Linked DNA regions of Mytilus edulis. The protein of the gene in region 1 purifies or fractionates together with the protein of each later gene. This does not show direct contact. Links are inferred from orthologs where the notes say so. Each region holds a gene or a part of one and is shown in the gene's direction. Other genes may lie near its edges.

Region 1 (7,981 bases):
GAAGGCAATTGTGTGTTTTATTTCACTGGAAAATCAAGGTAAATATTCTTTCATTATCTATTCTACTTACCTCCATGACAAGCTGATGTGCTCTGGATACCAGAGTTAAATTGTTACTATGATTAAATGTCTCCGATATATCATGACCAAATGTGTAACCAGCACCTCGAGGAGATATACCCCAGCCTCCTCTATCATCTGGATCTGACCATAGCAAATCACACATGGGACCCTATAAATACATTGGAAAAATGTCATATTGTTATTACAAATCTTTAAAACCTAACCCCTACATGATGTTAAGTAGCTATGTACAGTGAATTTTGCCTGTAAAAAATCCTCTTATAAGTATTAATTAGTTCAATAATTATAATCTGATACAAGAGTTTCAGAGTAGACTGGTTTCCTGTTTATCATGGTTTACAAGAGTCCACTTATCAAAGACATTTTCTGTGTAAAATGTATTTTTGAAATTTGTTGAGATCTTTAAGCTAATGGGTTCAGCAATGGGAAAAATACTGGAATGATGGTCCTATTCAGAAGGAGTATTTCTAATTAGAAAGAACATTGGCTTTTAAATTGGATTCCATGGTACATGTATACTGTAAACAAGCCATTATTTTTTTTTACATTATCAGACATACAATGAATTTTAATACAAGACTTGGAGGAATGTATTTTATATTCTTAATAAGGAATTGCCAATCTAATTACATATTAATCTAGTTACATTGGACATGGCACTTTATATTCTAATCAATCTGTGATATGGCAAAATAAAATAAGATACAAGTTTAAATGTATCAAGCATGCTTACCTCGTGTGGAACTTCTTGTAATCTATCTAATGCTCGTATATGATCTAATGTGTCTATTGAAGGTGATAACCCACCATGTAAACAGAATATCTGAAAGATAAAAGTATTCAGTATTATCTTCTTGTCAATAGGTACTTATTTCAAAGTATTTTTTCCATTTTCCATCCTTTTTTTAAGAACTGTCAAATTGAACTATTAAAAATTATAGATTCACTAACAAAGTCAAATTCCTACTAATCAATTTTCCAACAAAACATATCTGAACTCGATTCTGTATCTGCATCACCTACTTGCATATCTATTCTGCATCACCTACATGCATATCTATTGTTTAAACATAATGACCTCTGGATGTCTTGTTTTGTAACCATTGGGTTGCTGTCTTATTCATGTCTACTCCCATATTCTTTTTATTCATATGATAATTGATCTACTGTTGCAATGAATCTCATTTAATACAAAAATATGTTTTTCAAACAATTGAAACTTTTCCGCAATCACATACACTTTGCCATTTTACAGAATTATTGTAGACTGTACTGTAAATTCAGAAATCATTCCAATGTTTTTATTTTTGCCAAAAATGTGACAGGGACCTGGGTTATAATGTCAATAATTTTAACTTGCATTCTTAATTTTTTTATAGGAATTACACAGAATTGCTCAATATCACAAAAATGTAAATCACATTTTGGTCTAAAATAACAAAATCGCAATACTTTCTGAATTTACAGTACATGTATACTACATGTATTTCTACACAAGAAGTGGAAGGCTCTAAACTTACTTGTCCATCTACTAAAGCTGTAAGTGGTAAATAGTCAAATAAATCTGTGAAATATTTCCATACTGTAGCGTTACCATACTTTCTCAAGCACTCATCGTAAAAGCCATATACTTGTGTAATTTGTCTACTTTCATGATTTCCTCTTAGAATTGTAATTCTGTCTTTCCATCGAACCTTTAACAAAATCATATCTCATGTTTAAAAAAAATGAGGCAAAAATATGTGTTAGTTGTGTAGTTTGAATACTTTCTTTACTCTTTATATTCAAATTACTACTTCTTGACTTAAATCATAGAAACTTGATAAATGTGAACCTGTCACTTTATTTAATTTCTACAATTAACTATACCATGTATACTGGCTATCAGTAAGGATTAATTGGATAATTTTTAGTGAAAGTCTCATAAATTGCAAAGCACATGGAGTAGACATTGCTTTTTAAATCATAGAGGATGCAAGTTTTATGAATGAAAGATAATCAAATAAATATTTTCCAACTGTTCATTTTGAATCAAGCTGCACTTTTTAATTGTTGCTTTTAACATTAGCCAAAATGTAGTTTTGTTTAGGCCACAATTAAAAATATTTTGGTTTGCCCAAACCCTACCCAAAGGTTGAGACAGTGGGTAGGTAGGTAGGCATTTTCTTTTTTTTTTTCAAAAAGAGAAATTGAAGTATCGGGTGTTTATTAGTCTTTATGCCTATCTGATAAAAAAAAAAACTTCTTCAAATTAGGACAATAAAAGAATTTGAGTAGGCAACTTTTTTCTGGGTAGGTAGCGTTTGGGCAAACAAATCTATTCTTTTTTATGGCCTTAACAAAGACAAAATGTGTAAATAAATGTACTATACATACTTTCAAAGCTACTAAAAGTGTTACTGTTTCTACTGAGTAATATCCTCTGTCTACATAGTCTCCCATGAACAAGTAGTTAGTGTCTGGTGATTTTCCACCAATTCTGAACAATTCCATCAAGTCATGGAACTGGCCATGGACATCCCCGCACACAGTAACTGGACATTTAACTTCCTGAACATTTGATTCCTTGGACAATATTTCTTTAGCCTGAAAAAAATTAATTGTTTATTAGTATTAAATAAATTAAAGAGTGCCTCAAAATGCATTTTTATTTAAAATTCACATTATAAGCCTCATTTGTTTCAGGTTAAAGAAGTCCCAGCATTTAATATAAATGCATGTCAATAGCCAGAAAATAAGAACTGAACAGTGAATATCATAATCAAACAATTAATCATACATTAGGAGAATAAATACAAGTCCTACAAAACTGAGGTGTTGTATATACATGATATAGCTCATCAGTTCAATTATAAGACCAAACAAAATAAAATAGTGTATGTATATTAACTGTCACCTGCTTAAAACAGGGACTTATGCAAGAGATCAAATTACAATTAACTACATGTATTATATATTTTCTGTTAGCTGCCATTTGCTGAAGTTGTTTCTGATATATGTTTTAACATGGTTTTACACAACATTTATTGATGATTTTTGGTTGCAAACAAGAATGTGTCCAAAGTACACGAATGCCCCACTCGCATTATCATTTTCTATGTTCAATGGACCGTGAAATCGGGTAAAAAATCTAATTTGGCCTTAGAAGTAAATTGATCAACCAAAAGGGAACATGTGTACTAAGTTTCAAGTTGATTGGACTTTAATTTCATTGAAAACTACCTTGACCAAAAACTTTAACCTGAAACTCACACTTTTAATTTCTATGTTCAGTGGACCATGAAAATGGAGTCAAAAGATTAATTTTTTTTTTTTAAATAAGAAAGATCATATCATAAGGAACATGTGTACAAAGTTTCAAGTTGATTACACTTTAGCTTCTTCAAAAACTACCTTGACCAAAAACTTTAACCTGAAATGGGACAGACGGACGAACAGACGGAAGGACGCACAGACCAGAAAAAATAATGCCCCTCTACTATCGTAGGTGGGGCATAAAAAAGAACATATATAGCTGTCAAGAATAATACTTCTGAAAATATTTTCATTACTACATCTTCTTTACTATTCATGCTATTTGGCATAATTTCCAAGCTTAAAAGTTATCCAAAGCTAGAATGAACATTTTCTGTGTGTGACAACACACAACTGAACACTACCTTATAAGAAGAGTTAATAAGCCTGATCAGTGCTACATAAATGCTCCATCAACTTTTATCTTTGAAGCCTGCAGCAGGATTATGTTTTCAGATGTCAACAACCTAGAACATCCTTCGCTGCCCTTTTGACATATCTTTAAATGAAATTCTTGTGCGTTTGATTTAAAAACTGAAAACTTAGATTTTAAATTGGGGAAAGGAGGTTAGTGTTTGTGTTTAAGTTTCTTTAATCAAATACACTGCTTGAGGTATTTACAATTAGTTACATCTATAATACCAATGATTCATTCTCAAAGCTGGGGATAAAACATGTAAAAATATCCTTGAATTTCATTTAATGTGATGAACACAACATTTTAGTTCAATTGGTCCATCTTACTGTAACTTGTGTAAGTCAAATAGTGTATTTAACAAGACTTGAGGTATACTTCTTGTGCTACCAGAGTTATCAATAAATGGTTTGTGGCATGTTGACTAAAACACATTCAGGATGCTGGATTGAAACCTTTGAAAACCTTTTAACTGTGCTAGGCTGTTTTATGAAATGTGATTAGATACGATATCAGTACACCTGAGCAAAGAAAACTTTGGTTGCCATATACAATTTTACGAAAAATTGGTTTCGTAAAAATGTGTTGCCATGCGAGTTTGATGCAACAGTTATACAGTCATTTATAGGCCGACACATGCTTTATGCAGTTATGACATTAAAGTCACTATGTCTGTAAGTATTTTTAAAGGGAAAACAGTTGATGAAAGTGTATATACCTTTTCACACAATGTTTTGACTTGATTTTCGGTCAGTTGTTTGCAATCATAAAGTTGTTCAATCCATGTATCGAGTTCTTTTGCTGTTGCATGATCGTCAACGTAACTCATTTTGAAAAGATATGTTTACATGTATTAAACTTGACAAATGTATACAAAAATGCGTTATTTATCTCTTATTTGGTGTTATTTTCAAGTCTCAGCACATCGAGGCGCCGACAAAATGGCTGTGTCTTCCTTCTCGAGTGACGTCACTTTCATAAATAATTGTTAACGAATGAAAATTTTTATTTATATAAGATAAATAAAAATGACGAATTACTAAATTAAGAACTAATCGTGATGTTAATCATTATTTATCTTAAATGATTCAAAATTTTAATGCAAATATAAACTGGATTCTGAGTCACTCTGCTGGTGTCCTTATTCCGTTTGGTGACATCTATCGGAATTTTTCTAAACCAAGCGAGTTAACTACAGACTTCCTTTTCCGGTTTGCCCGTCTTAGTTCATGGCGAACTAAATAAGTTATATCGAATCTGCGCCAATCATAGTTGAATTTTCATTAAAAACAAGAAAACGATGGCGGAGCAAATGACGCTTAGAGGGACCCTCCAAGGGCATGGAGGATGGGTGACACAGATTGCCACAACTCCCCAATATCCTGATATGGTGTTGTCATCTTCTCGGGGTAAAATATTCTGAATAGATCTCATTTTTTGTATAACCTGCATGTTTTGCACATATTATCAATGTATTCGATCTTCAAGACGATGCACATACTCTATCTTTTTATTGCAACGTTGTCTTTTTTGTCATACTGTGTAAATTTGTTTACATGTACATTTTTCATCTTCAATGTTGAAATGCCGGTAGACCTATTGGCAGAAGATCGAATTAAAAGCCGCAGTTTGGAGAGAATATCATTTCTGATTGCAATCTGCATTTAAGTAAAGTTCGTAGGCGCTTTTTCTCAAGTGGAACATTCGAAAATACAGGGACTGAGCATGAACATGTACAGTCATGACAGTATGGTATATTCATCAATGGGCTGATGGATCATAGTATAATGTAGATGTACAATTGTTCCCTAGAACGGAATCTGTGACATATGATCAATTCATACAGAACATGTAAATATACCAGCTGTCTGCACCAAAATCGTTATTTATCACTAGTTCAAGAATATTAGAAAAAAATGTATGTGTCGTAACAATGTTTTGCAAACATGTACTACTCTGGTGCAAATATAGTCCTAATAATTGTGACGTCTTGAAATTTTATTTATTGAAGACATGTTTTTTGGTAAGACTGTGTGATGGAATTTCTCTCAAACTTTAGACCCAAGTTAACAATAAAACGCTTCTACAGTGGTGTCTGCATGGCCAGTGATACTGTGCATTATCTGATTTCGTCATATCAACAAAGTAACACAAATAAAATCGTTCTTGTTATTGTTTTAGCCTTCAGAAGGGATTAAAAAAAAAATTATAAGTTCAAGAGGTTAATAACTGCAAACCCGTGATTTACAATATTTGACTAATTTCCATTAAAAAAAATTACATCATCAGATAAAATTTGTTTTATTTAAGTCAAAATTTTATTAGTTTGAAATAATTTTTGCTCTGCATCCTTGGAAGTGTGTTTGGTTCAAATTCAGCTATATTTTGGAGTAGAAAGTCTTTCCTTTATTCAAAATAACATATTTTTGGAAGGCATGTGCGAAATCCCCAGACATTGGAGGAAATCTCAGAACAGGGGTTTCCCTAATTTTGGACACGCATTACACAAAATCTTGGGTGAAACCATACAAACAGAAGATTTTATAAAATAAAAGTATGTTATGAATGTGTTCACCCAATATTATCCATTTATTGGTTTTATCAGTTGAATGAAATGAAGTCATAAGTCTTAGGTGCATGGATACACCGGACTGCGCCGTAAGCTAATTTCCCTATGTATATAATTAGAAGAGTACTATAAAATATTTATTTGCACCAAACTCAGAATAATATATGACGCACAATCTTTTCGGGATGTTTGATTTATATTTAAATTCATGTCCATCAAAATTTAGAGTTTGGAAAACAAATATATTATTTTATACTCCTAAAATGAATTTCAAAGTGTCTATATAGAAGAAATCAGTAAAACGTTTTTAAAAGTCTTACTAAAAAAAATAAGTTGGGCATATATGACATCCCATGCCAGAAAGGCTACAAAGCAAAAAATAAAATATATTTCAAGACATCATAATTATTTTGACTAATGGTGAAGACTGCACTACAGGTATAAAGTGTCAATATAAACAATTTTGTAATAAAAAGGAAAAGTATTGAAATTAGTTTATAATTAATTAGGTCAGTATGTCTGATTATTTTTTATGCCCCACCTACGATAGTAGAGGGGCATTATGTTTTCTGATCTGTGCGTCCGTTCGTCTGTCTGTTCGTTCGTTCGTCCGTCTGTCCCGCTTCAGGTTAAAGTTTTTGGTCAAGGTAGTTTTTGATGAAGTTGAAGTCCAATCAACTTGAAACTTAGTATACATGTGCCCTATGATATGATCTTTCTAATTTAAATGCCCAATTATAGTTTTGGCCCCAATTTTACGGTTCACTGAACATAGAAAATGATAGTGCAAATTTCAGGTTAAAGTTTTTGGTCAAGGTAGTTTTTGATGAAGTTGAAGTCCAATCGTTAAAGTTTTTGGTCAAGGTAGTTTTTGATGAAGTTGAAGTCCAATAGTTGAAGTCCAATCAACTTGAAACTTAGTATACATGTGCCCTATGATATGATCTTTCTAATTTAAATGCCAAATTATAGTTTTGACCCCAATTTTATGGTTCACTGAACATAGAAAATGATAGTGCAAATTTCAGGTTAAAGTTTTTGGTCAAGGTAGTTTTTGATAAAGTAGAAGTCCACAATCAACTTGAAACTTAGTATACATGTTCCCTTTGATTAGATCATTCTAATTTTAATGCCAAATTAGAGAATTTATTCCAATTTCACGGTCCACTAAGGCCAAAAAAAAAAGATATGTGTTTCCGGTAACATCATTTTAAAAAATAGGGTAGGTAGGTCGGAATTCTTTTTTTTTTTCTTTTTTTTTTTTTTTTTGACATCGTAAATGAAATCCGGAAAATTATCATGTTTTTTTCCAAGTTCGGATCCGTAATTAGTTTCAAAAACCGGAAGTGTGCCATTTGCAATGTTTTTGAAGCACCTGCTGTGCAAATTTCTTGGATTTTAACCTATTTGGAATACCTTTTGACATTAATAAAATGTTTTACTGGCTTTCTATGACTGGCTTTCTATGCAAGAGGAAGCAAGAGAGAAAAAATATTATGTCATCTATCAGAAGCCTGTGTCAAAAACAGGGTCGGTTGATAAATTTTTTTTTTTTTTTTTGGAAGATCCAATAAAAAAGTTAGGGTCGGGGCTAAAAAACAGGGTCGGTCGGGTTACCG
Region 2 (7,827 bases), on another chromosome or scaffold:
TTTCCGAGGATGTCATATCAGTGTGAAAGCCCTTTAAATGAAGTCAAACAAGAAAAGAAGGCTACAGTAATATGCCGCTGTTCAAAAGTCATAAATCGGTTGAGTGAAAACAAATTTGGGTTGCAAACTTAAACCGATGGTAACACATCAACTATATAAGAGGAAACAAAGGAACAACAATTACCCTGCAGTGCAACAAAAACAAACGCCAACATATATAAAAACGAACTATTTAATAACAACTGCCATATTCCTGACTTAATTGGTACGGGACATTTTAAGAAAAATAAACCTAGCCAAACAGAAAGTATAACGAATATAGAAACAATTTGGAGATGGGTTATGGTTGCCAAGAAAACAACTGCCCATCACACACCTAACTATGTAGAAATAGGCATCTATATGTCACCATATTTAGTTAGTTGGTCGAGTAGTCTTGGGCGCGGGACATATAGTGTCACAGAAGCGTGGGTTCAAATCTTGCTGAAGGGAGATTCATTTTCGCAAATCTTTAGTGATCATTAGTTTTCTGTGTAAATTGTATTTTTTCCCATTTCGTTTGTCCTTTCGTCTTTCGCCAGTATATAGTCTCTAACTTTACTTGTGGTTTTCAAATTGACGTCTTGGTATAGCTTTTGGAATTAAGTTAATTGGGGCATAATTGTTAAAAAAAAAAAAAAAAAAACATTACACAGTGAGTAAGCAGGGGCGAATCCATGATAAAGGGGAGGTTCCAACCATATATATATCCCCATTCAAATGCATTGATCGTCCCTGGAACCCCCCCTTTTGAATTCGCCACTGGCAATTGAAATAAAAATAGTCCTACTAGTACAGTATTCCCATCAGATATAAGTGAGTAACTATATCAAATCAAATACTAGTAGGATAATCTTTCTAATTTTGATAAAATGTTCCAACATAAGTTTTTTTACATTTATTTGTCTTGACGCTTTATTGAGTGTAACAAAAAATGAGTATAAATTTTAGGTGATAATCAGTCAGGGGCGTAGCTACCCGGAGGCACGACAGCACGTGCATCCACGTCATTTTCACAAAAAGAAAGAAAAAAAAAGCAGAAGAGAGATTAGTTGGTCAATCGGAATCGGAGACTGTTGGTGTCTTTTCCGTCTATCCCGGATATTAGTTTGACAACCTAGTTACAAGTGTTGATGAAGCTGTTCATTCAGAAAAAGATCGTAGCTCCGAAGTTGCGTGCACATTGATTCGGCATGCAAAAAAAAGAAATGGCAAAATAAAAATTTATAAATTGAATGTTAAAGGAAACACCTATGTTGTCACTTTTTTTAATTGATGAAATATCATTAAATAACGACATTTGGTTTCAAAATAAATTTTTTTGGAGATTATGACAAAATCGGAAGGTTACTTGTATCTTTTACAAGATTTTTACTTTTGAATTTGTAATACTCAGTCTTAGATTTGTAGTTTTGGAGCACATTTTACAGTGTACAGTTCATCAGTTTGGAATGAGATGTACCAATCGGCATTAGAATTATCAGATCCCTTCGATATCGTTGAAAATATGCCGAGGCGATGTGGTTGACAGACTACCGGAGCCAATCACCCTGCAACCACGCCAAAACAGTATTGGAAAGTCTCATTATTTTTTGCGTTCATAGAACATATGATAAGGCAACTGGAGAGTGGAGTCGCGTTAAGTTATCAGAAAATCGCTTCTTTGTGCTGTATCTGCTTCATCGTGTTGTAGGAAATATCACAAACGAACAAATCTCAATATTGTCTGAAACATACGAAACTGACCTAGCATGTAATTTTGACGAATTCAATTGGGAGGTCGCTCGATGCCGAACACGTACGCTGGTTTATAACATCTCGCGAGTGCTACCATGCCATGATGGCCCTGAGAACTATCAGTCACGGTGCTACGTATGTAATTGAAAACAAATGTACGATCAACAATGAACAACGAAAGTTACATAGCATTACTGCATATTCACGGGATTTCAGTGTGAATGTTGACAAAGTAATAGAGAAGTTTGTTTCTGCCCAGACCCGAAGAGCAGATTTTGGACAATTTTGAGTAAATTCTGTATCACAAATATGTGTTGTTTATGTATTACTATATTCAGAAGATTTATTAATAGTTTTACATTCATAAATTTTTAACCGAAAAAAAAAATAATTTCTGCATAGGGTCCCAAAATTTTTTCTTGGTAGTTGCTTCCACATCGTTTCTTTCTAGCTACGCCCCTGTCAGTCGTCACACAGCGAAGTGTGATTTCATTTCCACACTCAATTTCATTCCATCAAAATATAATTTAAAGTTCTCATTATGCTTTTTCTCCAATGGCCTAAGAGAAGTAAGTTCACAAAGGTTTAACATTGTTTTTTAGTAAGGCTAAACTACTACACATGCATCTCACATAGACATAGTTGTGACAGATATTATTACTATTTAAACAAGAACTTCTTTTTAGCACTTCACAAGTTAATGACGATGTAATCACTCCTTAAAATTCCAATTATTTGTATTGTAACGTCAGTTTTTGTCAAATTTAAATAATTCTTAAGTTTTTAGCATAATCAACTTTGACCACCACATAAGATCCAGAAATTTTAGGTGTCTAGGGAATCAATATCACTATTCGGACAACCGTTTGGCTACAGAACATTTTGGTTCCTACATATATGCTGTGGTCGATGGTTTCTTCCGGATTCAAGCTCCGAATACTCGCACAATCATCGTAATTTGACAAAATATTCAAAATCAATGTGGTGATTTTGAAGCCTACAATACATTCTTATAGAGAGCGTTGTTCAATATAAAAAAAGAAGATGTGGTATGATTGCCAATGAGACAACTGTCCACAAGAGACCAAAATGACACAGACATTAACAACTATAGGTCACCGTACGGCCTTGAACAATGAGCAAAGCCCATACCGCATAGTCAGCCATAAAAGGCCCCGATAAGACAATGTAAAACAATTCAAACGAGACTGAAACTAACGGCCTAATTTATATAAAAAAATGAACCCTGTATTAATGCTTTTGAATTATATCCCGACCAAAAGAACCAAATCATGACCATTTGATATTTTATGATAAAAGTTGAATTTTAAGACCGTAATTGACCTAAAGTGAACGATCTCCTTTCTGAGAATGCTTACACATGAGTCCGACGTTCTTAAAACTAATATCTAACTTATAGGATCTGAACTTTCAGCCTTCTCCCAATTTCATAAATTATCTATATCATACACAAATAAGAAGATTTGTAATTCCAAATCCCCAAAGATGTTCTTTAAAATACCAAGAATGGTACCCATATTTGATGTAAGGGTACCGCGCTCCTCGTGCATCCGAGTCATAATTAGATGTCCATATTTCGACCAAAGTTTTATCAATAAATTTACATTTTTTATATAAGGATCGAGCGCGCACCTGTTATCATTGTCAGTGGACAGGGCGAATGCACCCAAAAATACCGTTTTTAACTAGCGGAGTGAATAAAAAGTTATAAATACAAGAAACATTATATATTCATTTCTGGGACGGATCAAGTCATTTTAAAAATTTGTACAAGACTTTGTCGTTTACATTCGCAATATTAAGGTCTAAAGAGAGATAACTCGATTATGTTTCCTTCTTAATGGCAATCCATAAAAGGAACAGGGAATGAAATGATTTAGAGGCAACCAAAGGTAACCGATTAGGATTAGATTACCGAAATTAAAAGAATACACATTTATCACCTTGCAAAGAATTTATAAATCCGAAGAGACAAACAGAATTGATAATTTGCTATCTTTGTAATCAAAATTCATATTGTAACAATATTTCTTCGAAAATTTCATGTTTTTCGGACCAGAAAAATGTTTAAAATAAATTATAGAAAATTTGTCTCGGATACGACTAATGTATTTTCACAAATAAAATTTATAAAAAATTTACCAATTAAATTCTAAAATATATTTCATCATTGCATATATTTATCATTTAATATTAAGTGTAGTTTAATTACAAAGTAAACCCGTCCATGGCCTCCTTACTGCACTGCGTCATGATAGAACCGCCCCTCTCCCGCCAAATCAAAAATAACTTGGACGATCACCAAGTTCTTATTGAGCATCTTGTTTATCCTTGTTGATCCACTGTACCAATTTTAAAATTAAATGTAGAATAATTTTATCTCAAAATGTCTATTTTCAATTAATAAATAAAAAAAATCAACACGTCCCACATCGCGGTTGCCATGTTGGATATATGCGGCCCATGTGACTACTGTGGCGATAGATCGTTCTGCAACCTTGTGAAGATCTTGCCGTATTTCGCCCCAAGACTCCCTAAACCCTTAGGTTTTCGTGTAGTCACCCAATACGGCTTGTAGATTAAAGGGAATACATTTGTGTAATTTCAAATTTAAACTGGAGGGTTAAGGGACAACAGTAAGTTTCAATATTTTTAAGCGTGATAGGCCAGTATGTGTATAAGACGCCATGTCTTTTGAGGTAATACACCTCGTGTCACGTGTGTATTTACTTCACTGATATTTTACTAAACTTTGCACAAATAATTGTTATTAATACGATGTAGAGTATTCACTACATTCGAAGCACATAACCTGCACATGTCGATAATTTTGGTTAAATGATTAACGAGGAAATGAACGGGTTTTGACCCGCCTGTATCGAGGTCATCTTTCGCAATTTCATTCGATTTTGTTTTCGTGTTGGTGTGTAAGTGAGCAGTTGTCACTTCTCAAAGACAATTCCTAGTGGTAACTGCTTTGAACTTTGACCTGGGATTTTGACACTGAGTTGTTTTATTGATGAAAATACACGAAACATCCGCAAGCATGCTTTTCATATGGAAAGCGGAAATTCGTATGTCGTCAGACAAAATGGCGGCCTCCATGGAAATTTAGAATTTTGATACATTTTAACGTATTTTTGGACAATATATTTCGCAAAATGGTTGTTGTTCAGGTAAATTTCACATATTGATGTTAAAGCTTCCAATGCAAATACACATTTATGACCAAAACAATATCATCTAATTAATTATGCATTTAGATCACCAAGCTTTGAGGATATCAAAACAAACCGTAAACAGACAAAGTTTTCTGTCAATTTTGTAAATCATATCATTAATTGGACATTGATAATCATTATACAGTTATATTTTGTGATTAAATTAACTCTGAAAACATCTGGAAGTAATAAAATAGGGGTTGGAAAGATGTTGCAGTAAATGATATAAGGGGCCTTCAAATTCCTAGAAGCACTGTACTATTATATATTAATTTCTATTTCCTTTTTGTGAATTAATTACACTGGTAAAACCTATGTAAATTGGTGAATTTTACATCATTAAACAATTATTCAAAAGCAGAGATGGAATTAGGGTGGATAGGGTGCCTATGCCCCTTTTGTTATTGAGCTGCTAATATGAAATGGATCATACATACATTTTTGTAGACAATCCTGGATCAACATGTATGTACCGATTATCAGGTTGTCTGCATGTTGATATTGAAAAAATATCAGATGTGAGTCAGATTATGAAGCTTTTTGTCTAGTGAGTTCAGTGAACAAGATCAAAAAGCCCTTCGTATTGTGTCGAACAGCTGATATTTTACAATATTCATATGCAGCACCTGATAATTAGCTGTTTTTGCATCTTTTGAAGGGTATCTAAGTTTCATTAGCAACCACATGATGACTAGATAAGTTTTGGGTCAAACAAAAAGGGAAGTGATGAATCAAAAATCGTTAATGTTGGCAAATAACTTATTTAAAAAAAAATGTTGATGTTTTTATAGATATGTCTGAAGTGACTATCAATGCATTTGGTTAACATTTTGTGATTCTTTGGTGTTTTGGTGTTTTATGCCCGCACCATAGCAGAGGAGACATTAAGTCTGTCTGTACGTCTGTCCGTACGTCCCAAAATTGATTTCAATTCTCCAACTTAATTTTTGCCATAACCAAATAATATGAAACTTGTACACAATGCTAATTACCACAAAACACAGATCAAATTGGAATTTTGGTAGTGTCACTTTTACCACTCTGGAGTAATGCCACTTTACAAATGGAAAACTTTAGTTTGCCTCAAATTAGTGTTATGAAACATACACAAATTGCTTATTTCCACTAAACTCAGATTACATGTAAGTGCAAATTTGGTTAGCGCCACTTTAACAGATTTTGAGTTATGTTCCTTTATAACATTATATGCAACAGGGGGCATTATCTGTGTCCCACAGACACATTCCCAATTTATTAAAGCTATAGCTAATGGATGTATTTGGTGTCTCAGATGTTTATACTTTTTTTGTACTTTCACCTTATGGAGAAAAAAAATCCAAATTATTTGATTGCAAGCACTACATTCATTGACATTGAAAGTTATAAATATTTTATTTTGAAATGCACACTTGAGAAGTTTTTTATAGTGTATTTATAACACAAGTGTACACTTGTCCTTTGATATCAGCAGCTTATTGATACTTTGGCCTTTAACTTTTTGATGAAAATTTTTGTTGTTGATCCTTTTTGGCATTTTGACCCTTGATACAAAGCTCTAAACCTTAACCTTCATAAATTAGAATTGCTTTTATTTTCAAGAAATGGAATAGTGGAGAGAGCGAACTTTCAGGCAATGTGCAGAAGTATTTTCAAATATATATATAAGAAGATGTGGTATGATTATCAATGAGACAACTCTCCACCAGAGACCAAATGATGTTCATGTAGCACTGATAGGTCTTACAGCTTTCTTCAACATAAGAAGGGTCAGCCTGACCCGTTAGCCTCTAGTCCAATGCCCATGACTAGTAACATTTTATTTTCAAGACTTTGTTTAGACTGTAGACACACAAGGAAAATATCTAAATATTTGTCTTTAGACTAGTGGTTGGAAAAGATTTTGATACAGACTGAAGGGTTAAAGAAAGCATTTGTTTGAGTATGTTTAAGTAAAAAGCACATGTAATCTATATTGTGAACAGTTAATTCAACAACTTGGCTAAAAAGATACCCCTCATGACTTTGTAACAGTCTTTATAAAATAAGAAGCACAATTGCAAAGATCAGTTGAATCACAAGAAAAATTAAGGGTCAAATTTTCTTAGAAATATACACGGCCAAAAAAAACCCACTCACAATGGGCCAGGGTTTTTGGGGAAAGACGGCTTCAAGCCGTCAATCCCCTATGGGGTTGACCAGAGTGACATTCCCTCACATCATTCATTTTGTTTTTATAGTATGGGAAACCCCCCAACAAATCTTTCTTAGATTGAAGAGAAGGAGACCCAGAAATGAATAGTTTGACTTTAAACACTTTTTTACACATTTCCCTTCTGTTTCTCACGAAATTATCGTATCTTGAGCTCTCCTTTACACTATTTACGTTTCTTTTTACAATCCGGAAAAATCAGTATGACGAATTATTCTAAATATATCCAACCTACATTGTATTTTATAGTGACGTCATTCTTGGAATGCCACTCTACGCAGAAGCAGGGATATCCTTCACTGGTTATTTAAATCATTCTCAGAGATCGTGCACTAACTACAAATTGGTATTTGTTAAATTTAAACATAATAATGTCTGCTGTTGATGATTCAAACATCAACATGCAATCCTTTAATTTGAAGGTGAACAACTTTCAAAGTAAACAAAGATCGTGGGGTTACATGAGATAGGGGAGAGAAACGATTTTATTAATTTTTTCTGTAAAAATTCTGTTTTGAGAATCTTCCTCCAATTCAGGAGCACCTCAATTGATGAGTAATTATCCACTTAAATAAAAGTTAATGTATTTAAAACACTTAA
Region 3 (6,972 bases), on another chromosome or scaffold:
TGAAGTTAAAAGGTTGACTTTCCCTTAATCGCCAAGGTAATCAATTACATGTATATATAGAAGAAGAAAAATAATCCTTTTATAATTTACTGACCATCGGGAATCTGAATCACTTTATTGCCGAAGGCGTGGTTAGCGGGTACAGTTATTTTCCGGTACTCTCCAGGGCACATCCCAATCATAGCGTTCTCTAATGCTTTGAGTATTTGATTTTTACCTAGACGAATAGTCCTTGGATCCTTTTCTTTACCTGCTTGACTAGAATAGAAAGTCACATTCGATAATGTATTGTGTCACTAATTTAATCTTCCGGAGCACCGATCACCCCCAGTATTTTGGGTCGGATCGTTTTGCTTAGTCTTTAGTTTTCTATGTCGTGTCTTGTGTACTATTTTGTGTCTATTTGTCTTTTTCTTTTTTCATGTTTTTAGCAATGGCGTTGTCAGTTTATTTTCGATCTATGAGTTTGACTGTTCCTCTGGTATCTTTCGCCCCTCTTTTAGGTCATAAAGAGTAAAACAAATAAAGAATAGAGAAAAATAGACCACAAATAAAAAGAATAAAAAAAAAGAATAGAGAATTATGGGGGGGGGGGGGGGGTAGATATAAATAATAGTGAAAAATGACCTACACAAAATTAAAATATGAAAAAACAGAAATGAAGGACCCTCTCTATGCCATCATGTAAGAACATAACACATGTACCTTAATTGTATTAAACTTAGTATAATAATACTGTTATGACCTTCATTAAAAGTTAATATCTAAACAATGATAAATAGTGTGAATAGAGAGCACAATGTTGTATTTTATCAAAACACCAACATTAAATTTCCCGCTAAATGATTGCTGATTGCTGTTCCCGCGATAGTCAATGACTGCTGATTGATGTTCCCGTGATAGTCAAGGATTGCTGATTGATGTTTCCGTGGTAGTTAAGTATTGCTGTTCGAGTGATAGTAAAGTATTGCTGATTGCTGTGTCTGTGATAGTCAATGATTGCTGATTGCTGTTCCATTGATAGTCAATGATTAATGATTGCTGTTCCCGTGATAGTCAAAGGAATGATGATTGCTGTGCCTGCGATAGTCAATGATTTCTGTTTATTCGATAGTAAAGAATAACTGATTGCTGTTTCCGCGATAGTCAAGGATCATTTCTGAATGTTGCTTCCTGCGATAGTCAGAGATCATTTCTAATTGCTGTTCCCGCGATAGTCAAGGATTGTCCCAAACTTAATTTGGAGTCTAAATTTCACGTACATATAGTTCAGTCTACAGGAAAACAACTGCGTGTTGATGAGACTTCGTCGAAACTACAATTCTTTAATTCAATTGTTAGAATTAAGACTAAAGATCTATTCAAAGAAATAACACACTAACCTTTTTACAAACATATCCTCAGTATGGTAAAAAACATCGATATCGAAGATTCCAGTGTCATTATAAAGAAGATTTTTGTCACAAAACGGCGCTCTGGTTACCGTTTCAATTATAACAGCTGGTTCTATGTCTGTTCCAGCTTTGGTTGCGTTAAATTCGCATTTGAGTTCATTTACCAAACATATTAAAATTATCAAAATATGAATGCAAACTTTCCCCATAATTTAGTTTTGATTTACACGTTAGTGTGTATTTCTTAAATCTGTAGAAAGGGGTACTATGTGGGTATGGTATTGCAATGTTCGTCTCTTACTTAAATTTAATTGAATTTCAATGTTGATAAATACATACTGATAATAATACTCAAAGTCTATTTTTTCTTAAATTAAAAAATATATCAAATTTGTACGTTTTATAAACAAAATCTAAAAAATATTCTATGTGATATCGGATCTCATAGTTTAAAATCATACGTAAACACTTCTATCATAATAAATCAACGACCGGTAATATCTAGTAAATAAACTATACATATAGATTGGTCATGTAATACAACTTGCCCAGGGTAGAAAATTTTTAAGATATACGCTGTTTAATGTTGGTATTTATTAAACCTTAAACATAGGTACCTGTAACATTCTTCCTGATTCACCGAAGTTCTCTAATCCGAATGGAATAATTTTTGGAATGAAAGTCCGACTGTTTTCCTTTGAGATCCTATAATTTCTATTGTAATTAAGGAATAGCATGTAATGTAAAAATGTTTTTGTCAATGAAGAAATAACGTGAAAAATTTAGTGTATACTAAATAACCCAAGTTGCTTTATATTTAAAAGTGTGCACGCTAGTCTATTTTTATTATAGAATCTATTAGATTATTTCGAATGGACAGGGGGAAGTACTTCCATTCCTTATAATCTAAATGTATTTCGATTTTTAAAGAGTAAACCGTGGTAAAAGTTAATGGCGTAACGGTCACATGCCAAAACTATGTTTATGAGCTGATATACAATTTTGAAACTTTCAAACAATCAAAAGACGTGTTATATCCAAATTTAACTTTATTAGACCATAAGTCGTTGATGGAGCAGTAGTCTCTTCGATAATCAAACACTTTTATTATTTTGAAAACACGGCTATCTAAACCCGCCAAAATCTATATAGTCAGGAAACTGTGAGTCAACGTTTGTCGTGGGTTGTTGTCTGTCATATATACATTATGTTTCTTTCGTTACTTATTATGTCATATAAATCCAGTCGTTAATTTTCTCGTTAGAATTTTGCACATTGCGTCATGATAAAGCCTTACATAGATGACTATACGTTGTGAAGCTTGGTCATTGTTGAAGGTCGTACGGGGGTCTATAGTTCCAATCATCCACGTCATTTAAATAGTTGTTGTATTGGCAATCATACCACACCATCCTTTTTATGTTGATATTTATGCAGATGCTTACAATATTCCTTTTTTAGGGGCAGTGATAACTGATATCCGCCCTATCTCTCACTATAGCCACATTTATATGTAATTTTGTATTTCATTCGGCTGAACAGTATGCCGTATTCTCTTTTCATTTATTAAGATGGGCTTTCTCGCATACATTGCTTCAAAGGGGCTCACTTTAGTGCTGTCATGAATACCAACTCTGTAGGCAAATAATGCTTCATTTATGAATAAATCCCATTTCTCAGGTTCTTTGTCAAACAATTTATTTATGATTGTTTTAAGAGTCCCATTAAAGTTTTCAACTTAACCATTGCATGCTTTTGGGATGATATGGGCTTGTTGTAATATGTCTTATATTATAATCTTTAGATGCCCAAACTCTTTACTATTAAATTCCCCACTACAGTCTGAAAATAAACTCATCAAAGATACCAGGACTAAATTTTGTATATACGCCATACGCGCGTTTCGTCTACAAAAGACTCATCAGTGACGCTCTAATCCAAAAAAATACACTGAACAAATAAATTTGATCTACGACACAATGTTAATACCATATCAATAAAATAAGGGTGAATAAATACAGACAACAGTAGTATACCACTGTGAGATAATAATTAATATCAGAAAGTGAACCTTGAACAAATAACCGAATTGCTTCCCGCCAAATAGAATAATGTACCTAGGTAAAAGAAAAAAAGTTTTGTTGTAAGGTATACAGTATCATGTGAAATAGAGAACGGACATATATTTAACTATATAAATAATGATGTTGTTTATAGTACGAGAAACAGAAGTGAAAATTTCTAGTCATACTAAACACGGCAAAGTGGTAGGCCTATATATTAGAAATAGAGATATCACTTTTTATATTTACTCTTTGCAGAATTTTATTTATAATAAGACTTATTTTCAGAGACTTCTAAAACTCTTACAAAAAATCGCTATTTTGTCGGAGCCATTATTTTTTCCCCGCAGCCGGTCAAATAACTACTGCCATAAAATATTATAGTTGGATATCCAAACGCACCTATGGTTTCAAAACGGAAGTTCGTAAAGGGGAATAACCAATTAAAAACAAAAAGAAGGAAATTTTATGTAAGTATTTCACAACATATAGAAATTTATCTATTTATAAATTAGTTGTTTAATTTTGCTATTAATAAACAGCTAAAACATATAAGATCTAGCTCAGACGTGCAGTGTTGCAACACCAGTTAAACCGATAAAACATACTGGAAATACAACAGTACAAAGGAAAGAATCTCAGACTCATTCAGTCATTGGAAGTTACACAAATAATCATTTCGTCTAATATAGAAATAGCTTATACAAAAAATAAAAACTTCATGGAAGGACCTGTTAGTGTTTTCAGTTGCAGACATAGCAATACCATTCACAAGACCATGGAAGAACAGGCAGCCTTGATGAACCAGACGAAAATTGACAGTGTACCAAAACCATCACCCTGGGGCAAACCTCCGCAGCAATCAACTCCAATACCAAGCTGCCTGCAAGATGTAATGAATGAACAGTTGAGTGAAGATTTTATCGAAAAAGAACAGAAAAATGTGTTGGACACTTTTGAAAGGTATATACTAAAGTTAAAAAAAGGGGGGTGTTAATCTATTTCAAGTCTTATCATTGCTTATTATCTAAAAATTAATTATTTTTGAATAACTACATCATTTTGTACATGAATGACATCTAGAAGGGTATTTTTGATTTTTTACCATTACCCCTTGGCCTTTCAAAGATGGACAACTACGGATGATCAAATGAGGATGTAAAATAAAAATATCAAAAACCCATACAATTTTCAAGTTGAAACAACTATTATATGTTTAACAGTTAATTAAATGATTGTTTTAAAAAATGTGAACCACTTTCATGACATAAAGTAAATAATAAAATTTCAATACCCCAAGCATGATTAGAAAAAAAAGTGTTCAGTAGAATATTATGTATATATTTAAATTGTAGTTATGGAATCTTTGCATGTATGTTGAACTCTTGACGTCTATTTTTAATTCCATGTAGCTGCATTTCTTATCATTTTAATTTCAGTGAGAAAAATGAAGTTGATGTTGATGCATTAATTGCTGCCGCTGGTGCTGATGAAACTGCTGACGATGAACTTATGGCTAGGATGTTACAGTTGGAATACGATAAACAGAATGATGAGGAATTGGTAGCAAAGGAAAAACTCTTGAATAAACATCATAAAGGTTTGAAAACTACATGTATTCATCATTTAGCCTTTGAGTCCTTTCTCCTTCAATTACTTTCAATCCCCTTGAATCACTAAACTTTATAGCAAGAGTGAGTTTTTCACTGAATCATTTTTTCTCATATTTTAGCAGAAAATATACTTTTTCGTAGTCCTGACAAAGCATACATACTGCGATAGTTCTTAGTCTTTTAATAAAGATGTTCAAATATATATTCAATGCTTTTGATTTATTTTGTTATATAAAAATAAGAAGATGTGGTATGAACTGTATGATTGCCTACATGGCCATTAAGACAACTCTCAACAATCTACTCAACCAGAGACCAAATGTTTGTTTTAAAATCCTATAATTTGTTATTAATTCTGCTTAGATAATTTAACTGAAATCATATTTAATCTTCTATTTTTAGTTTCTATCTCATTTGAGAACTACAGAAGTGTACATCCAGCATACAGAGATGATGAAGATAAAGAAGAAGAGGATGATGATTACGAACCACCAAAATCACAATGGGGTATGCCAATGGGAGATGACTCCACCATGATTTAAGATTGACTTTCTCATTTATTCAAAACAAGCTAAACAGGCCAGCTAAAGTAGGAAAAGCTAGAAAATTTGCTTGAAACATATGTTTCCAATAGTGCAATATTCTAAATGGTACAATGTATTGTACTAAAATTTGGTTAAGTTCTGTTGGACATATTATGCTGCTTCAAAACAAAATACTTCTCATAGTCAGATACTGTTACCATGGTTACACATCAATGAGCTGTTTATTCAGTGTTCCAACCAGGATCTGAATATGGAAGGTTACTTATTTCAAACTTAACAGAAGCTGTTTGAAAAGTAGCTTGAAATTTGACTTGGCCTATCAGTCAAATAAAAGGCAGAATGTTTTCATGTGGCATTAACTTGTGATTTTCCTGGAAAATATTTGCCCCCAGAAAATTAAATATCAATCTTGATCAACAATTACTTGGTCAAAAACATATTTCAAGGAAATGTGAAAGTGGTAATTATAAGCTCTAACTTTTCTTAATTCACACATACATGTTAACATATTACAAATAAAATATAACATTTATAAGTGGAATTAATAAATGATTATGGAGTATGATACCTAGGATAATATTTTTTGGACAATATCATCCCAAGAACTATTTTATTTGTTTCCAGTTCACAACTATTATTTTTTTAACCATGCAAGGACGCCTCTAGGTGCGGGAATTTCTAGTTACATTGAAGACCTGTTGGTGACCTTCTGCTGTTGTTTTTTCTATGATCGGGTCGTTGTCTCTTTGACACATTCCCCATTTCCATTCTCAATTTTATGTATTTTTCAGATAAGAAATCGCCATCATTTAAAAAGAATGGAACAGTTGGCAGTGGAAATAAAATCATAACAAAACACGATAAAGTTATATGTGGACGAAAAAATGCTTCTAAACTAATGGATGTAAGTTTCAATATTTTCTTTTTTTTAAATAACAAAAATACTGAACTTCAAGGAAAATTCAAAACAGAAAGTCCCTGATCATATGGCAAAATCAAAACCTTAAATACATTAAAAGAATGATTTATTTTTTCATCTGATAATTTGCCCATTTTACAAAGCAGTTGTCTTTATATTGATTTGCTGATTCATGTATGTCCATGTCACACCAATGGTTTATATTTAGCTCCCCTGGTATTTTAATATAAACTGGTATGTTGGGATTAAAATTATTGATATTCATTGTTGGAAGGGGTATTTACTTCAATACATGAACTAGAATAATGATACAATAATCTTTGGTCTAAGTGTTGAGAAAAAAGTGTTTAATGATTACTTTAGGGACCACATCAAAAGTTCAATGTAGGATAAAAAACTAAATTCACATAGTTTTTTTCACTGACTCCCCACCCCCCT
Region 4 (7,471 bases), on another chromosome or scaffold:
AGTTTCTCGAATTTTGGAGAAAAAAAATACCGCTGTACACCCAACCTTCCCGCTTTAAATGATTTCAATTTAGCATTAAAATCATTAGGAAAAATCGTTAACCGGTTGGATGAGTCTTCTCGTACTTCCACTGTTCAATAGATCGATATTTTTCTTTAAAATAATGAAAATTTAGGCTAAGAAATAAAAAAAAAAAGTTCTGGTTTTACGATTGTTAAAAGTATCCTGAATGGTCGAAGTCGAACACTTGATGGGACAACCCGCTCTATTTGACCGGAAGCTTTTATAGGCATGAATACAAATTCTGAATTAGTCCCGACTTGGTACAGGCATTTTTTTAAACCTGGTTTTATAGCTAGCTAAACCTCTTACTTGGATGACAGTCGCAGAAAAATTCATTATATTGACAATAAAGTGTGAACAAAACACACATACATATTATGTTAAAATGTCAAAATAGGCGTACAGTCAACATCGTGCTTCTATATATATATCTTAATCACTTTAAAAACATGAGACAACTATAACACACACCTGAAGGGTCGAATCCAACCATTTAACAGGCGGTACCAACCCATGATGAAGGGGGGTTCCAACCATATGTCCCCATTCAAATGTATTGATCGTCCAAAAAAAAGGGTTCCAACCCCAGGAACACCCCCCCCCCCCCTTTTGTATCCAAAACTGCACATGTGTTATAGAAGTCTCGGATAAAAGTAAAGAATTTTTCAATATGAAAAAAACAAAATGGCATATAGACAATGCACATAAGCAAAAATGAAAGACACAAAAATGACCACAGCACAACACGTATTGGCGGGATGCATTAGTACGAGTCACACCAATAGGACATATCAGCACACATATATATAGTAAACAATTAAGGTTAATAATTTTCAAAGGCAAATAAAAAAAAACACCTATAACATATAATGTAGATGATAAACAACTTCAGTATACCTAGAATCTATACTCAAATTTATTCGTCCATTGTGTGTTTATTTGTGTCCGTGACTTCGTTTTTTTGATTGAGTTAAGGCATTCCATTGATATTTTTTAGTGTGTCTTTCTATATTGTGATGTTATACTACTGTTTCAGAAAAGGGAGAAGGTTTGGTACCATTTAAACGTTTAATCCCGCTGCAATGTTTTGCACCTGCATGTCATAAGTCAGGAATCTGATGTTCAGTGGTTGTCGTCTTTTTATGTGGTTCATAAGTGTTTCTCGTTTCTCGTTTATATATATATAGAAAAGACCGTTGGTTTTCCCGTTTGAATGGTTTTACACTAGTAATTTTTTGGGGCCCTTTATACCTTGCTGTTCGGCGTGAGCCTAGACTCCGTGTTGAAGACCGTACCTTGACCTCTAATGGTTTACTTTTATAAATTGTGACTTTGATGGAGAGTTGTCCCATTGGCACTCATACTACTGATCTTCCTATATCTATATCAAAGACCATCATGTAAAGTTGATGTATACGAACTGTTCATAATTACTATAGGTCTTGGTTTAATATTCCTATTAAGTTTTTTAGAACTAGGACGTCTCGTGCGACTTTTTTGACATAACCCTGGCACATTAACTTTCTACTCAGACACTGGTAGTCTACGTAGCATTGCAAGCTCTTGAATAATGAGTGAGATGGGAAATGTATATTCCATATGCATGTGAAGTTGGTATATTATTATGAGTGAGATGGGAAATGTATATTCCATATGCATGTGAAGTTGGTATATTATTATGAGTGAGATGGGAAATGTATATTCCATATGCATGTGAAGTTGGTATATTATTATGAGTGAGATGGGAAATGTATATTCCATATGCATGTGAAGTTGGTATATTATTATGAGTGAGATTGGAAATGTATATTCCATATGCATGTGAAGTTGGTATATTATTACGAGTGAGATGGGAAATGTATATTCCATATGCATGTGAAGTTGGTATATTATTATGAGTGAGATGGAAATGTATATTCCATATGCATGTGAAGTTGGTATATTATTATGAGTGAGATGGGAAATGTATATTCCTTATGCATGTGAAGTTGGTATATTATTATGAGTGAGATGGGAAATGTATATTCCTTATGCATGTGAAGTTGGTATATTATCACCAAGGTAGAGAAAACTGATAATTCAAATCTGAAATTGTCATAGATTCTGGTACTAAGATGACCGCTTATGTCAAATTTAATGTATAAAAATAGATATAGGAAGATGTGGTGTGAGTGCCAATGAGACAACTCTCCATACAAATAACAATTTAAAAAGTAAACCATTATAGGTTAAAGTACGGCCTTCAACACGGAGCTTTGGCTCACACCGAACAACAAGCTATAAAGGGCCCCAAAATTACTAGTGTAAAACCATTCAAACGGGAAAACCAACGGTCCAATCTATATAAACAAAACGAGAAACGAGAAACACGTATATATTACATAAACAAACGACAACTACTGTACATCAGATTCCTGACTTAGGACAGGTGCAAACATTTGCAGCGGGATTAAACGTTTTAATGGATCCAAACCTTCTCCCTTTTTCTGAAACAATAGCATAACATCACAACAAAGAAAAACATACGATAAAATATCAATTGGCAGACTTAACTCAATCAAAAAACGTATGATTAAACAATGAACGAATAAATTTGATCTGTGATATCTGAATACAAATGCACAGTTAATTAAATATTAGAGACAAACATTCATGACCAAAAAGCTAACAAACAAATTCAAACGCAGGACATGACTGCGAAATATTTAACCAATCAATGTTAACTTTAGAAAAAAACCGCCGGTTAGTCTAAAAGTGAAGCGAAGTCGTGTCTGTTAATTGTTTCTCATATACTCTTTAAAATTGAGTAATACATGCTTGTGTAAGAAATAAGCAATAATAGCAAGCAAATCTAAACAGTAAAAAGCTCGTTCATCGCACTATATATACATGCTAAACATATTGAGTCACTATACTATACAGCGCTCGAACAATCTTAGTTTTGACTTTATTCCCGATGTATTTTCTCGCCTAGCATGAACACACAGTGATAATTGTTTCGATCTAGTATAGATAGATATCGATACCGTTTCAATGTATCCATTCAAATAACAAACCCCGGGGCAATACTCTATATTCATGCTGTAGAGAAATGATAAATGCGTTTTTAAATCGCAAATTTGTCGTTTTTTGAGTGAGAACGGACACATATCTACACATTTGCATAATAAAATTTATATGTCTTTGGTATGAATAATGAAACATATTTTATATAATTATGAACCAAATTCGATAAAACATTGGTCAACAATGGAAAATCTACTGTTTGGAGCAAGCATGTTATTATCATGGTTGTATACACATCAATTAATAAAAGTATAAACTGATTTCTCGGATTGGCCTAAAAATAGGGACCTTTTTGAGATTGAAATAAAAACTGTCTTCTCTTATGTTAGCTTAACTTATAAAAAAATCAATAAACAAAATATGGAACCAAAAAATAGCCGGAAAGTAATGAAAAGAGAATAAACGACAAAAATAATAATAAAGAGCACATAAAACCATGAGATTAATTGAAAATCCTCCTGGGCCAAGAAACCCAAATGAGAGGGGTTAGGAGGGGTCCTGATCCCGAAATCCCGGACTTAAAAAAACGAATTCCCGAGGTCCCGAATTTAAATAAAGTAAATCCCGATGTCCCGAAATCCGAAAAAAACGATTCCCGGATCCCGAAAGGGTCAATCCCGAAATCCCGAGATTAAAAACACCCGATAAAGGTCCTATCCCCCCTCCCAAATGAACCCGCATCATATTCCAGGCCCTCTTTATTGTTCAAGTTTGCCTTTTATTTTTTCTATTTTGGCCCGATCATCATGATCGTATTTCCTATTCTTTTTTGTTGTTTATATTCTTATCTATTTTATTTTTTAATTTTTATTTATTTTTTTTTTGGGGGGGGGTCTCTTTTGTCTTTGTCACTGAAGGTTCGTCTTTTATAGATCGTTATAAAATTCGGTTTATATTTACTTTTCAGTCAAAAGATAATCCATCACCTTTGGACATTATAATCATGTGTGATATTATCTTCTGATATTTTTCATCTTTATGGAAATTTGGGATCTTCAATGCGGCGCCCCTCCTTTTTGAGCCTTATTTACAACTTACTGGCAACCCCTTGGAGCCCAGTGTTAATTATGTGACCTTTTGACGTCAAGAAAAGCGTCACAGGTTTGCCACGTGACATTGAAATAATAGATAATATCATAGTTTATTGCGATTTGGATTTCAAGAAAAGATTGTATGATGTTTGCATGTGCATTTTGGCTTATAATGTTGAACAATTGTTTAAGCTAAGAAAAAAATTTGTTCCAAAATAGTGCGTATTCGCCTACACATGTTATGTGGTGTTACAATGGTTCTTTTTTTCAACTTTAACCCGGAGATGACCAATCAGAATATTGCTTACTCAAAACAATCAATCGCGCAATGATATCAAGGTGCACGAACTACACAGTGTAGTTAGTTCCTTTTGGAGGTGGTGAGTGTTAGTCCATATTTGTCAAATTTCTGTCAAATTTATCATTTGTTTATCAAAATATACACAACATTAAATCTTTTGTAGACTTTCAGCTTCCACATTGGAGCCTAAAAAGAAGAAAAAACCAATTTAGGACGGATTTTTGGACGCAGTACTTAAGTAAGTTAGTAAATAATGGCCAGACCCCCGACACGTCAACATGTTCCTTCGGACCTGTCGACGTGGCTGCCTAATTTTTGACATTTTGTCTGTTTTCCTTGATAAAATTTGTTTAATTTACATAATTCTGAATGCCTGATGTATGCTTATTGTAGTAATGTGCAATATTGCACGCTGACATAATTTATGCACATTTGACCTGTTGTGTACTATTTACTCACCCTTGCCTTGCCCTCAACAGACATATTCCATCGTTGACAGAATTGTTGTTTGTTTAGCAAATTCTTTGATAATACGGTAATACTTATTATCCCTTACCATCAGTTTTCAATTACAAATACCAGCAAGTGGATAGTTATTTACATGTTAATGTCTAAATATAGAGGCTCATATTTGTTCATTTACCCTGTAAATGATTCATAACACTCAAAGACTCATAAATTTGTACTGTAAAATCAGAAATTATTGTGTGCATTTATTGTTGTAATTTTAGACTAGAATGCAATTTTAATTTTTGCGGTATTGAGAAAAGTCCTGTTTAATTCCTATAGGCTATAAAACATTTCAAAATGTAAATTTTTCTTTTGACAACTACAAATGCACAAATGGATCAGCTGACAGAAATGTAATGATCCCTATCACTTTAACAGACGTTAAGTTGTATCTCATTTCAAAAATTGTAAATGGCTTGTTTCATTTTATTAATTTAAGCTGTTTAATTTACATATCTTTTTAGAGTAATAAACAATGTCATTTTTCTTTCAATTTTTTTTGAGAAATTGTATTTTTTTCCTTTTTGATTTACAAACACATTTCTTTAATCATTGTTGATATTGAAAGATATTAAGTTGGCAGTTTCTCACAAGTGAAAAAAAATATAATTTCTAACTTCATTTACATACATGTTTAAATGAGTGATAAACTGAGACAACTGTTACATTGTTCTGTTTCTGTTTGTATGTATAGTGAACGACAAATATATGTGACGTTTAAAAAGTTTCTGACGTCAGACACGCGAATCAATGAATGCGTTTGTAGATAGATGTTTTTGTGTTCTGTTGAATTGTTCCTTTTAAAAGTTGCTACACGATGATGACTGCTGTACCCATATTTTGACTATTTTATTTATAATGTCTGCTTAGTTCACACATCCATGTAAATATAATGGAATTTGATGAGACTGTCATCAAAGTGAGAGGGTTAGCGCTATAAAACCAGGTTTAATCCACCATTTTCTACATTTGAATATGCCTGTACCAAGTCAGGAATATGACAGTTCTTGTCCATTTGTTTTTGATGTGTTTTGTTATTTGATTTTGCCATGTGATAATGGACTTTCCAATTACATTGTAGATTTTCCTCTAAGTTCAGTATTTTTGTGATTTTACTTTTTGGTTGCATTTTTGAGTGTAATGAAAAATTTGAACAACATAAAAAAAAAATGTATTTGGTCTTCATATTTAAAAAAATAAATAAATACATTGTACAATAGGGTCACTAGAAAACAAGCGCTTCCTTTATTTAGTGTTTCCTGCAGCTTTTAAAAAGGGCAGGGTAATTGTTAGCTCAGAGGGCACATTAAGCGCGATGGACAACAATTTAAGGGCACTTACTTAATATAAACAGGCAATTTCTATAAAATGGATTCATTTAAAACATACTAGTTTAATGCTATAAAAAGGACATATACATCTGTAATCAATCATTAAAACAAATTAATAAATAAATAATATTAAATCTTGCCACTTCTTCCTATCATTTAAAAAAACCCAGAAGATAGAAACTTCTCCCTATGATTCTGAAGAAGTGTGAAACCTGGTTTAAGCTATGACTTCATCAGTTATCATTTCAAAATGTTGGTTTTTCGTTAAATTATATGTGCAGTGCAAAAAAAAAAGTATCTTTTATATATCAATCTTTTAGGCATTCAGCTAGTACTGTTCGACTTGGAACTCCCATTTGACAAACGAGTTTGAATATGGCTACAAATATGGAGGTTCCACATATTGAAGAAGTGGCATATGTGCCCAATGCACCAACAAGTCCACCAACATACAGTGACGCCTTCCCAGAGTTGCCAGTGCCAGCACCCAGACCAGCTACTGATGCGCCAGTGACAGAACCTACTAGACCTTGGCCAGCCAATAACAAATTTCTCATGAGATCATCTACATGCACACAAGTATGTGTTGGTTATGATTCATTAATACAAATTAAGTTATTGTGTAGTAAAATACATTTTAAATGACATTCCTAAGAATCAATCATTTAATGTCTACAATACAACCATTTCATAGTCTGCTGTCACCTAGTAACATGCTCACAAGCTCGTTCCCTTGCAAGGTTCAATATGGTTTTTTAATTAATTGTTTACACTTGTGCTCCCAATTGGTTTTCATTTTACATTTTGCGAGATATTGTTTTAAAATCTTTGGAAAAGTGTTGGTCAGATGAATCAAATGTCAAACTGTCCTTTGTCAATTTTCTGACATCTTGGTTACAATAATCAACATTCACAAAACATTAAAGTTTTAAATTAAGATCCATTTCTGATTATCATTTGCAAGTTAATATATATTATGTAAATTTCATTGTAGGTTTTTGCTGTGCCTGTAGAAGAGAGAAGGTTTAATGATCACAGTTTTGGTGATGAAACAAAGCAAGCAGAAACATGCAAAGAAATAATGGCTAGAAACAGTAAGCTTTTTATCATGCTTATATTTGTTGTTGTTTAGTATTTATATTTTTATAATCCTGGCCTCTGCTAACAAT

Evidence for each region.
Region 2: the proteins of small ribosomal subunit protein RACK1 (region 1) and la-related protein 4-like purify together in Homo sapiens (affinity purification with mass spectrometry; 3 studies listed by BioGRID and IntAct, counting the BioPlex papers as one, with this or other methods). This does not show direct contact. The link is inferred for Mytilus edulis from reciprocal best matches to the Homo sapiens genes RACK1 and LARP4.
Region 3: the proteins of small ribosomal subunit protein RACK1 (region 1) and serine/threonine-protein kinase RIO3-like purify together in Homo sapiens (affinity purification with mass spectrometry; 3 studies listed by BioGRID and IntAct, counting the BioPlex papers as one, with this or other methods). This does not show direct contact. The link is inferred for Mytilus edulis from reciprocal best matches to the Homo sapiens genes RACK1 and RIOK3.
Region 4: the proteins of small ribosomal subunit protein RACK1 (region 1) and vigilin-like purify together in Homo sapiens (affinity purification with mass spectrometry; 3 studies listed by BioGRID and IntAct, with this or other methods). This does not show direct contact. The link is inferred for Mytilus edulis from reciprocal best matches to the Homo sapiens genes RACK1 and HDLBP.

Annotation. Positions count from the first base shown.
Region 1 is NC_092352.1:55,731,914-55,739,894, reverse strand, and holds the start of small ribosomal subunit protein RACK1, read left to right. Parts: upstream 1-4,974; 5' UTR 4,975-5,093; coding exon 5,094-5,202; intron 5,203-7,981. Other genes in the region: serine/threonine-protein phosphatase 2A catalytic subunit beta isoform, read right to left, coding at 71-232, 818-907, 1,605-1,778, 2,461-2,670, 4,512-4,622. UniProt on the Homo sapiens protein: Scaffolding protein involved in the recruitment, assembly and/or regulation of a variety of signaling molecules. Interacts with a wide variety of proteins and plays a role in many cellular processes.
Region 2 is NC_092357.1:54,891,909-54,899,735, forward strand, and holds the start of la-related protein 4-like, read left to right. Parts: upstream 1-4,820; 5' UTR 4,821-4,958; coding exon 4,959-4,973; intron 4,974-7,827. UniProt on the Homo sapiens protein: RNA binding protein that binds to the poly-A tract of mRNA molecules. Associates with the 40S ribosomal subunit and with polysomes. Plays a role in the regulation of mRNA translation.
Region 3 is NC_092355.1:39,763,117-39,770,088, reverse strand, and holds the start of serine/threonine-protein kinase RIO3-like, read left to right. Parts: upstream 1-3,960; 5' UTR 3,961-4,178; coding exon 4,179-4,420; intron 4,421-4,896; coding exon 4,897-5,057; intron 5,058-5,472; coding exon 5,473-5,577; intron 5,578-6,406; coding exon 6,407-6,519; intron 6,520-6,972. Other genes in the region: peptidyl-prolyl cis-trans isomerase FKBP7-like, read right to left, coding at 95-258, 1,383-1,396.
Region 4 is NC_092356.1:71,817,810-71,825,280, reverse strand, and holds the start of vigilin-like, read left to right. Parts: upstream 1-4,459; 5' UTR 4,460-4,540; intron 4,541-4,624; 5' UTR 4,625-4,699; intron 4,700-6,622; 5' UTR 6,623-6,677; coding exon 6,678-6,881; intron 6,882-7,296; coding exon 7,297-7,396; intron 7,397-7,471. UniProt on the Homo sapiens protein: Appears to play a role in cell sterol metabolism. It may function to protect cells from over-accumulation of cholesterol.